Arabidopsis thaliana: one gene and its partner. The protein of the gene in region 2 interacts with the protein of the main gene of each other region in a biochemical or structural test. Each region holds a gene or a part of one and is shown on either strand. Other genes may lie near its edges.

Region 1 (6,669 bases), 2.7 Mb from region 2:
CCATTTGTGGGTTTCATACAATCGATCACCAATAGAACAAAAGAGAAACAGAGGAACAGAAAGAATAGAAGGAGTGGGAAGTGTATGAGGAAGCTGTGTCCGAACATAGACAAAGACGATGGTCTGGAGACGGTGTTGGAAGTTCCGATACCGGAGGAGATGTTTTCCGGTATGGGCAACAACGTTGCACTTAGGTGGCAAAATATGATGACGTGGATGAAAGCTCAAACGTCTGATAAATGGTCGCAACCGCTTATCGCCGCTCGTATCAACGAGCTCCGGTTCCTTCTCTACCTCGTTGGCTCGCCTCTTATACCTCTCCAGGTTCAAGTCGGTCACTCTGTTCATAAGCCCGTCAAAGATTGCTCCATTGTAAGTCATTCAAAATCAATCCTTATGAAAACATAACAAAGATGTTGAAAATATGATTCCTCTTTTTTTTTTCTTTTTTTCTTTTATGATCAAAACCCAAAAAAGTCATTACCCTGCTTCGTAAGTATTCAACATAAAGTTGTTAATCCATGTGTTGTACTCTGCAAGTCTGCATTACATTATTCATCGTACACAGAGTCATCAACTTCAGTTTCATTGTTTTTTTGCTTATGAATTACGATTGCAGCAAGCTTCAACGGCGAAATACATTGTACAGCAGTACATAGCAGCGACGGGAGGACCACAGGCGTTAAACGCCGTGAACAGCATGTGCGTCACGGGACAAGTGAAGATGACGGCGTCGGAGTTTCATCAAGGAGATGATTCGGGCGTTAATCTAAAGAGCAACGACGAAATGGGTGGTTTCGTTTTATGGCAAAAGGATCCAGATCTTTGGTGTTTGGAGCTCGTCGTCTCCGGTTGCAAAGTGATATGTGGAAGCAACGGTCGGCTTTCATGGCGACATTCCTCTAACCAGCAAACTCCGGCGTCTACCGGAACGCCAAGACCTCTCCGCCGGTTTTTACAGGTCCAATCCGGTTATTGATTTTTTTTTTGATGTAATGTCCGGTTCTCAAAATGTTGAACCGGTGGTTTATTTATTGTTTGAGCAGGGGTTAGATCCTCGTTCGACGGCGAATCTGTTTCTTGACGCAACGTGTATCGGAGAGAAGATAATCAACGGTGAGGATTGCTTTATCTTGAAACTGGAGACGAGTCCGGCGGTTCGAGAAGCTCAAAGCGGTCCGAATTTTGAGATAATTCATCACACGATATGGGGTTATTTTAGTCAAAGATCGGGACTTTTGATTCAGTTCGAAGATTCGCGGCTTTTGAGAATGAGGACCAAGGAAGACGAAGATGTCTTCTGGGAGACTAGTGCTGAGTCGGTGATGGATGATTACCGATACGTTGACAATGTGAACATCGCTCACGGCGGGAAAACATCGGTCACGGTTTTCCGGTACGGTGAAGCGTCGGCGAATCATCGGAGACAGATGACGGAGAAGTGGAGGATAGAAGAAGTTGATTTTAATGTTTGGGGTCTCTCCGTTGATCATTTTCTTCCTCCGGCCAATTTGCAGATCGAAAAATGATTTAGCTTTTTATTAAAAATATTGTTATTCGTTTTTAGCCGATATCATAACTTTTTGAGATACATTATCAACACACTCGTGCAACTGAGATATTCTTGACACAATTTTTGCATTTGAAATTGGCAATTTTGTACTACTCATATAGTTTGAAGCTTCAATTCACTACAAAGGTTATTACTAATTGTGTCGACAAATCCAGCAGATTTAATAATGCCCATTCCATTAAATGTTTTTTAGTTTAATAATAGGATGATCATATGACCAAAATCGTAAATAAGGGTTAGGGGTAAACCTGTCATTTCAAGCTTCCCGCCCATGGGCGCTACTCCCAATTTAATAAAAAATAAGAAAATAGGCGTAAATATGAGAGTGTGTTTTTTCAATATACCCTCGGTTTTGAATTTGCTCTCAAAAGCGACGGAGACGACTGTTTGGCTCGGTGATTTCTCCCGCCGTTTGGGTTTTTCTTACCGGAATTTCCTTCTCCTTCGATGGTTAGTCTGCGCTCCAGAAAAGTTATTCCGTAAGTCCCTCCACCTTTCCTTTTCATTTCGTTATTTCCGGCGATTTTCTAGGTCCTTAACGCTCTCGAAATCGCTCGCTGTTCTTGGTGGTTTTTGGTTCCCTCTCTGCGTAATTTTGTTTGTCGTGTTTTTGGATTATATTCTCTGACTATTGGTCTCACTGTTGATTTATCATTTCTCGATTTTGGATTTTTGGACTCTTAGGGCTTCGGAAATGGTCAGCGACGGGAAAACGGAGAAAGATGCGTCTGGTGATTCACCCACTTCTGTTCTCAACGAAGAGGTTTGTTCTATGTTCTACTATTTTGCCTTCGTAGTGTGGTTGCTTTGTGAAACTTTGTGTGTTACTCTTTGTTTCTTTAAATCTGGGGTGTTCTGTAAATGGGTCCTTTTTGGTCCTTTTTTTCTGAATGTGAAGGAAAACTGTGAGGAGAAAAGTGTTACTGTTGTAGAGGAAGAGATACTTCTAGCCAAAAATGGAGATTCTTCTCTTATTTCTGAAGCCATGGCTCAGGAGGAAGAGCAGCTGCTCAAACTTCGGGAAGATGAAGAGAAAGCTAACAATGCTGGATCTGCTGTTGCTCCTAATCTGAATGAAACTCAGTTTACTAAACTTGATGAGCTCTTGACGCAAACTCAGCTCTACTCTGAGTTTCTCCTTGAGAAAATGGAGGATATCACAATTGTAATCTTCTTTATTTCTTTCTTCTTTGTGGTTTCTCACTTTTCGAATGGGAGTCATTATTCTTAGTTTGAACAACTTGTGGGTGAAATTTGTTTTGCTAGAATGGGATAGAAAGTGAGAGCCAAAAAGCTGAGCCCGAGAAGACTGGTCGTGGACGCAAAAGAAAGGCTGCTTCTCAGTACAACAATGTTGGTTCCATTTATATAATTTTCAACTACTATGCATGATCTTGTATATATTGTTTTTTCTGCTTGTTTGAGAAAGTAACTTACTTGGATGCTTTTTTCTTCAATCAGACTAAGGCTAAGAGAGCGGTTGCTGCTATGATTTCAAGATCTAAAGAAGATGGTGAGACCATCAACTCAGATCTGACAGAGGAAGAAACAGTCATCAAACTGCAGAATGAACTTTGTCCTCTTCTCACTGGTGGACAGTTAAAGTCTTATCAGCTTAAAGGTGTCAAATGGCTAATATCATTGTGGCAGAATGGTTTGAATGGAATATTAGCTGATCAAATGGGACTTGGAAAGACGATTCAAACGATCGGTTTCTTATCACATCTGAAAGGGAATGGGTTGGATGGTCCATATCTAGTCATTGCTCCACTGTCTACACTTTCAAATTGGTTCAATGAGATTGCTAGGTACTCTCATGGCCATATGTGTTTGTATAGATCCAATGCTTTGGGGTTTCTGTTGAAAGTTTTCTTACCTTTTCCATTAGGTTCACGCCTTCCATCAATGCAATCATCTACCATGGGGATAAAAATCAAAGGGATGAGCTCAGGAGGAAGCACATGCCTAAAACTGTTGGTCCCAAGTTCCCTATAGTTATTACTTCTTATGAGGTTGCCATGAATGATGCTAAAAGAATTCTGCGGCACTATCCATGGAAATATGTTGTGATTGATGAGGTAAATTCCGAGATTGGTCAATGTACTAGGCTTTGAAGATCAAGATGATCTCTCTAACTGATAATTTTGTTCTTGTATATTATAGGGCCACAGGTTGAAAAACCACAAGTGTAAATTGTTGAGGGAACTAAAACACTTGAAGATGGATAACAAACTTCTGCTGACAGGAACACCTCTGCAAAATAATCTTTCTGAGCTTTGGTCTTTGTTAAATTTTATTCTGCCTGACATCTTTACATCACATGATGAATTTGAATCATGGTACAAACATGGTCCTTTTCTACTATTATCCCTAACTAGTCTTCTTTTTTTTTTTTTTTTTGTTAACACTGGTGGCAGCTTTTTGACATTTATTCCTTTCTTAGTATCTAACTGATAGATGAGTCTCTACAGGTTTGATTTTTCTGAAAAGAACAAAAACGAAGCAACCAAGGAAGAAGAAGAGAAAAGAAGAGCTCAAGTATGTACAATTATATCAATTTTCCTTTATTTCTTTGATTGTATTTATGTCTTATGCTAAGGGTACATCTTGTCTAGGTTGTTTCCAAACTTCATGGTATACTACGACCATTCATCCTTCGAAGAATGAAATGTGATGTTGAGCTCTCACTTCCACGGAAAAAGGAGATTATAATGTATGCTACAATGACTGATCATCAGAAAAAGTTCCAGGAACATCTGGTGAATAACACGTTGGAAGCACATCTTGGAGAGAATGCCATCCGAGGTACATGATCTATTTTTTTTTTTTAATACTTTGTTTAATTATGTCATTTTCTGCATTGATTTGTTCATCCCCTATACTTCAGGTCAAGGCTGGAAGGGAAAGCTTAACAACCTGGTCATTCAACTTCGAAAGAACTGCAACCATCCTGACCTTCTCCAGGGGCAAATAGATGGTTCATGTATGTCAGTTTCTTTTAAGAAACGTAAGAAAAACTTCTGTCATACTGTTCTGTCTAATTGTTTCATTTCGTGACAGATCTCTACCCTCCTGTTGAAGAGATTGTTGGACAGTGTGGTAAATTCCGCTTATTGGAGAGATTACTTGTTCGGTTATTTGCCAATAATCACAAAGTATGTTTCACAAACCCATGGCTCGTAGCTCATTTCCCTTTGAGAACTTCTCTGATCCATTTGCTGATGACCAGGTCCTTATCTTCTCCCAATGGACGAAACTTTTGGACATTATGGATTACTACTTCAGTGAGAAGGGGTTTGAGGTTTGCAGAATCGATGGCAGTGTGAAGCTGGATGAAAGGAGAAGACAGGTTTCACCTGTGCTTATGCTGCTTTTGCGTTGCTTTTAAGCAATATTCTGACCAAATATTATAACCATAAGGTCTCTCTCTCTCTCTCTTTGCCTTGAAACAGATTAAAGATTTCAGTGATGAGAAGAGCAGCTGTAGTATATTTCTCCTGAGTACCAGAGCTGGAGGACTCGGAATCAATCTTACTGCTGCTGATACATGCATCCTCTATGACAGCGACTGGGTAATCAAATCAATTAATTTATTTTCTTTGAAGGAAAATCTTTCTCTTTCGTGTTGTCTCCAACTGTGTTTTGTCTGATCTCCAGAACCCTCAAATGGACTTGCAAGCCATGGACAGATGCCACAGAATCGGGCAGACGAAACCTGTTCATGTTTATAGGCTTTCCACGGCTCAGTCGATAGAGGTAAAACTCTTTGTTGTTCATATCAATCAATCTTAACTTCAAACCATTGAGATTGTTGCCTCATGAGATTGGTTTATGACATTTGCTCAGACCCGGGTTCTGAAACGAGCGTACAGTAAGCTCAAGCTGGAACATGTGGTTATTGGCCAAGGGCAGTTTCATCAAGAACGTGCCAAGTCTTCAACACCTTTAGAGGTTTTAACTTCTCTTAAAGCTCAATCCTTTTTAGATACACTTATTATCAACAAAATCTCCTATTGACAGCTTGAACCAAACTAACACACAGGAAGAGGACATACTGGCGTTGCTTAAGGAAGATGAAACTGCTGAAGATAAGTTGATACAAACCGATATAAGCGATGCGGATCTTGACAGGTTACTTGACCGGAGTGACCTGACAATTACTGCACCGGGAGAGACACAAGCTGCTGAAGCTTTTCCAGTGAAGGGTCCAGGTTGGGAAGTGGTCCTGCCTAGTTCGGGAGGAATGCTGTCTTCCCTGAACAGTTAGGACACATTAATAAGCCAGGCCTTGAAACCACTTCTGTGTTTTTTTTTTTTTTTTCCGGAACATGATCGGTTACTTTTGGCTGGGAGGATTTAATTATTAGAGGGCTCGGAAGTTTTTGTAAGTTAAAGAACTCACTTAAAACCCTGAAAACATGACAGTTAATGGTGATTAGCTCTCAATGTGATGAAAACAATTGGCCCTCTGATTTTGCTGTTGCGGTAATATTATGACTTGTGTACGTTTATAGTCTTTGTAGTCTGCAATTTTGGCATTGAGCTATTTCTCACGAACTTATGGGATCTTATGTTTTGGATTTGGGATTTGTTAACTTATATGATTAGGCTCAATAGTTTCACAGAATATTAAAAACTTGAGTAGGGTTTAAAAAAGAAGCAAAAAGCTCCGATGCCGGGAATCGAACCCGGGTCTCCTGGGTGAAAGCCAGATATCCTAACCGCTGGACGACATCGGATTTGTTGATGTCTATTCTTGTAAATAGTAAATATTTAGTTTTATCGGTTTTGCATCTAATGGACTAAAACATGAACACGAGACGCCGACAAGAATGAATGGGGCAGGCACCAAACATTTGGGTAAAAGTATGCAGTGGGGTATTATTGACAATTTGACCATTACAAGAGCTAATCTTAGGGGGTTTTAGTTAGTAAAGCAAACCCGGTTTAGGAGTAAATATGGAGTGAGAATAGGGGTAATTAAGGGAATTTAAGAGAAGTCATCATCGTTTTCCATTTTTCTTATTTTAAGCGCCTCGGTGGCTATCTCTCACTCCGTTCGCGTCTTCCTCTTAAAGGAAACCTCCTCTACGCGA
Region 2 (4,043 bases):
GATACAAGACTAATAAGGAAGCCTCTGGTACACCTAGAAGGTTACAAGACCAAAAATTACTAAATTAGACGATGGGTTGGGAGAGTTCCAATGGCCTTTTTGATAATTTATTGCAGATATTAAATGTGCTACAACCAGTTACATTCGAACCCCACAAATTGTTTGGTTAACAAAATCTAAAATTATGTTTGGGAAAAATATAATTGCGTCTGCCGGGAGTCGAACCCGGGTCTATTGCTTGGAAGGCAATTATCCTAACCGTTGGACTACAGACGCTTCTTGTCTTGTATCAGTGCAGTATTGTTGATGTTTCTTCTTATCCATTAGATTTAGATAACCTGAGCAGGTGAGACATGTCAAGCATTAGTTCTTGAATTACGACACTGGTTTCACAAAGAACAAGATCTTTTCCTAAACACAAAGTAAAAGACTTTGGAACACAGAATAGTTCAGTATCAAAATGTCTAAGAAGAATAGCTTTGTTACTACGACAGTGTCTTCAATTTCATCAGTCAAAAGTCGAATGGTTATCACGTTCCAAAAGCAAACACAAAGATGCATATCCCCTTATCATATTCTTCCAAAAACCGCTACAAAAATTATAGTACACATAACTTGATGATTGATGAATGAAGACTAAACAAGAATTATCCAATTAAGTAACCCTAACATATCTGTGTATCTTACCATAGATGCAACAACCCAAAAATCGCCACCAGGTCATCATAGTCTTCAAGCCGACACTTTACTAGGGTTTCGGCTTGTGATAAAGGTAAACGCAGTGCTCCAATCTCGTCTCACTGAGTCTTGAACCTTGACGTCCCCAATATTAGGTATCCAACCTTCTTCTCCTGCGTTTGCCATAGACCAGCTTACCTTGTCTGGTGGATTCTTAAAATCAAAGTCCAATGGCGGTGGCGGAGGTGGAGGCACTGTAGCGGTTCTGGTGACTCTATTGCTTCCTTGGCCTTCAAAATGCTGCAAATGCAAAATTCAATACACATCACAGGTTTGAAACCAGGGTGAAAGGTTTAATCTTTAAGCATGTAAACTCACGTCTGGATTGAAATATGTATTCTCAGCTTTCTTGGTGCCTCTTTTAGAAGTTCCATGTTCCAAGTAGTACAGCACCTCAGTCCTGGACCGAAACTTACGTCCTGTATTTGGTTCGTAATAGTACTGCAAAACCAGATAAGAAAATGTCACAAGTCTACACATCAATATCTACACCCATATTAGCATCGAGTATAACAACACCAAAACTTCATCTCTTCAATCACAATATATACCAAACCAAACCATCTAAATCCACCTGATAAATCAAAGTAACACTAATCACACTGATAAAGTGTATGATTCAAGTCCCAATACACCATTAACATAATCTAAACAAACTCATTAATGCTTAAGCAGAACCAACCACATCATTTTACTACATCATTACACTTGTCACTACTTTAAAGGCAAGATTTTTAAACCAAAGAGAACAAAACAACAGCAATCAAAGAATCCTCAATTTGTAGTCTTCAAGCAACAACGCAGCTCAAAACTTCATAGAGAAAAGCAGAGTCAAGCTGAGATTCTTTACCTTATCCACCGAACCAGCTGTGGCACCGGAAGTTCGAATCTTATCTTCAACTCTCCAACCAGGAGGCAACCAATTATCTCCAGGCGCCGCACGCTTCCGCGACTTCGATTCCGTCTGATGATTCACCTGATCAGTGCCGTTAGCCATCCCGATGCGTACGCTCTCTCCCGAACCAGAAATTCCGATTCCTCCCTGAATCGGTCGTCGTTTCGCACTACTGTCTAGGGTTCCGTCACCGGCGGAGGAGATGAAGGCTCCGGAGGCGAGAAGTGGATCGGGAGGGAAATCGCCGGCCACAGAATCTGACATACGAATTAGGGATTTGTCTTCACCAATGAGCAATGAGATCGCAGATTTTAACGGCGACGATCTCGAGAAATGGATTCTCCGTCGCAGCTTCTGTTTCTGGGTTTACGATTCGGTTCGGTTAAACCGAGATCGAATAAGAAATTAAAATTTAGTTAACCATCAACAATTCGTTTCTTCTTTTCTTTACCAACAAACATAATAAACACGTTTTATTACTAAATGAAACATTTAAACTCATCTTCTCATCACTAATCCATCAGTTTAACATTTTGTGTTGTGTTTATTGACACTTATTAGACCACATCCATTTAACCGAGTAATCTAAGATTTAGTGAGTTTCGACAATATGCATTTATATGTCACAATTGTTTGTACTAGATCAACATTATGGAGCTTGTTTTGTGTTTGATACGGATGTCTTTGAAGTATATTAGTCACAATTGTTTAACCATCACAAAATCTCTTTTGAGTAACAAATAAATTAAGTTTAAAATAGAAAATATAATAATTGAAATTAGTCGCTTATATATAGTACATTGGGAGTGGAAATTGTTTAAAGAAAAGTATGCTTAGTTGAAAAATTAACATAGAGAGGCTATTCAAAAAAAAAAGGATAAAAGAGAGATTAGAAAATATAATGGAAAAATGTGGCATTTGGTAGTAATCTCAATGTTTTTAACCTTCTGTCTTTTACTTTTACTTCCGTCTTCGTTTGGTGATCTTAGGAACTGTGATTAGAAGCATTTCCTATGCACTATTGAGGGTCCAGATTCATCGTACTCTGCTTTCGCAATCCACATCTGTCAAGTTTTCAAACACATACCAATATTTATATCAAAACAAACTTATGAATGTTATATTATACATGATCAAATAATAATAAAAATGTATATTAATGTGTTCACCTGCTGGAAAGTGCTGAGTGAAGCCAATATAGAGCCACCGATCCATACACTGTACTTCCTCTCCGGTGGAGCCACGACCTTAATCTTCATACTACTTGGAGCCAAAGCCGTAATCTCTTTGCTCATTCTATCACCAATCCCTCCAAACATTGTGGTTCCACCACTTAGCACAATGTTACCATACAAGTCTTTCCTAATATCCACATCACATTTCATGATAGAGTTATATGTGGTTTCATGGATTCCTGGATTTTCCATTCCGATCATTGACGGCTGGAACAGAACTTCCGGACACCGGAACCTCTCTGCTCCAATGGTTATCACTTGTCCATCAGGAAGCTCGAAGCTTTTCTCAACGGACGAGCTTGTTTTGGAAGTCTCTAGCTCTTGCTCGAAGTCTAGAGCAATGTAAGAGAGCTTCTCTTTCATGTCTCTAACAATTTCACGTTCAGCAGTTGTGGTGAAGGAGTATCCACGCTCTGTGAGGATTTTCATGAGGTGGTCCGTGAGGTCACGACCTGCTAGGTCAAGACGTAGGATTGCGTGTGGGAGAGCGTAACCCTCGTAGATTGGTACCGTGTGGCTCACACCATCTCCAGAGTCCAAAACAATACCTAATCAATAATTTGCAAAAGAACCAATTAGGGTTGTCCATAAAAGCATAACCAAATAGTCCTTAAAATAGTTCATATTATTTAAAATCAAGCATGAAAAAAAACTGGTTATAGATTGGATCAACACAAATATAAGTGTGTTACTGACCAGTTGTACGGCCACTGGCATAGAGTGAGAGAACAGCTTGAATGGCAACATACATAGCAGGAGTATTGAATGTCTCAAACATGATCTGAGTCATCTTCTCACGGTTAGCTTTCGGATTGAGAGGAGCTTCGGTCAAGAGAACCGGATGTTCTTCAGGGGCAACACGAAGCTCATTGTAGAAAGTGTGATGCCAAATCTTCTCCATGTCATCCCAATTATTAACAATTCCATGCTCAATTGGGTACTTCAGAGTCAAGATACCACGTTTTGATTGAGCCTCGTCTCCAACATAAGCATCCTTTTGTCCCATCCCTACCATCACACCCGTGTGGCGAGGACGGCCTACAATGCTCGGAAAAACCGCTCTTGGTGCATCGTCACCCGCGAATCCGGCCTAAGCACGGGATATATTTTTGAGTAGTCGTTTATGGCATAGCCTTATATATATGTGACATAGCAATAAGAGTCTTAGAGAGAAA

What was found.
Region 1: the proteins of MBD6 (region 2) and CHR1 form a complex in vitro, tested with the Arabidopsis thaliana proteins (one study listed by BioGRID).

Annotation. Positions count from the first base shown.
Region 1 is NC_003076.8:26,647,030-26,653,698, forward strand, and holds CHR1 (chromatin remodeling 1), read left to right. Parts: upstream 1-1,867; 5' UTR 1,868-2,020; coding exon 2,021-2,052; intron 2,053-2,257; coding exon 2,258-2,336; intron 2,337-2,471; coding exon 2,472-2,738; intron 2,739-2,839; coding exon 2,840-2,926; intron 2,927-3,034; coding exon 3,035-3,381; intron 3,382-3,461; coding exon 3,462-3,651; intron 3,652-3,736; coding exon 3,737-3,912; intron 3,913-4,044; coding exon 4,045-4,111; intron 4,112-4,188; coding exon 4,189-4,378; intron 4,379-4,460; coding exon 4,461-4,556; intron 4,557-4,633; coding exon 4,634-4,728; intron 4,729-4,802; coding exon 4,803-4,922; intron 4,923-5,025; coding exon 5,026-5,145; intron 5,146-5,230; coding exon 5,231-5,329; intron 5,330-5,419; coding exon 5,420-5,524; intron 5,525-5,615; coding exon 5,616-5,840; 3' UTR 5,841-6,162; downstream 6,163-6,669. Other genes in the region: AT5G66740 (spindle assembly abnormal protein (DUF620)), read left to right, coding at 85-372, 620-961, 1,047-1,529. UniProt on the Arabidopsis thaliana protein: ATP-dependent DNA helicase that plays a role in formation, organization, stability and heritability of heterochromatin and thus regulates several physiological traits.
Region 2 is NC_003076.8:23,950,175-23,954,217, reverse strand, and holds MBD6 (methyl-CPG-binding domain 6), read right to left. Parts: upstream 2,087-4,043; 5' UTR 1,898-2,086; coding exon 1,589-1,897; intron 1,180-1,588; coding exon 1,057-1,179; intron 979-1,056; coding exon 733-978; 3' UTR 511-732; downstream 1-510. Other genes in the region: ACT4 (actin 4), read right to left, coding at 2,632-2,697, 2,803-3,416, 3,565-3,958. UniProt on the Arabidopsis thaliana protein: Transcriptional regulator that binds CpG, CpNpN and CpNpG (N is A, T, or C) islands in promoters regardless the DNA methylation status. Plays probably a role in gene silencing. May associate with histone deacetylase proteins (HDAC).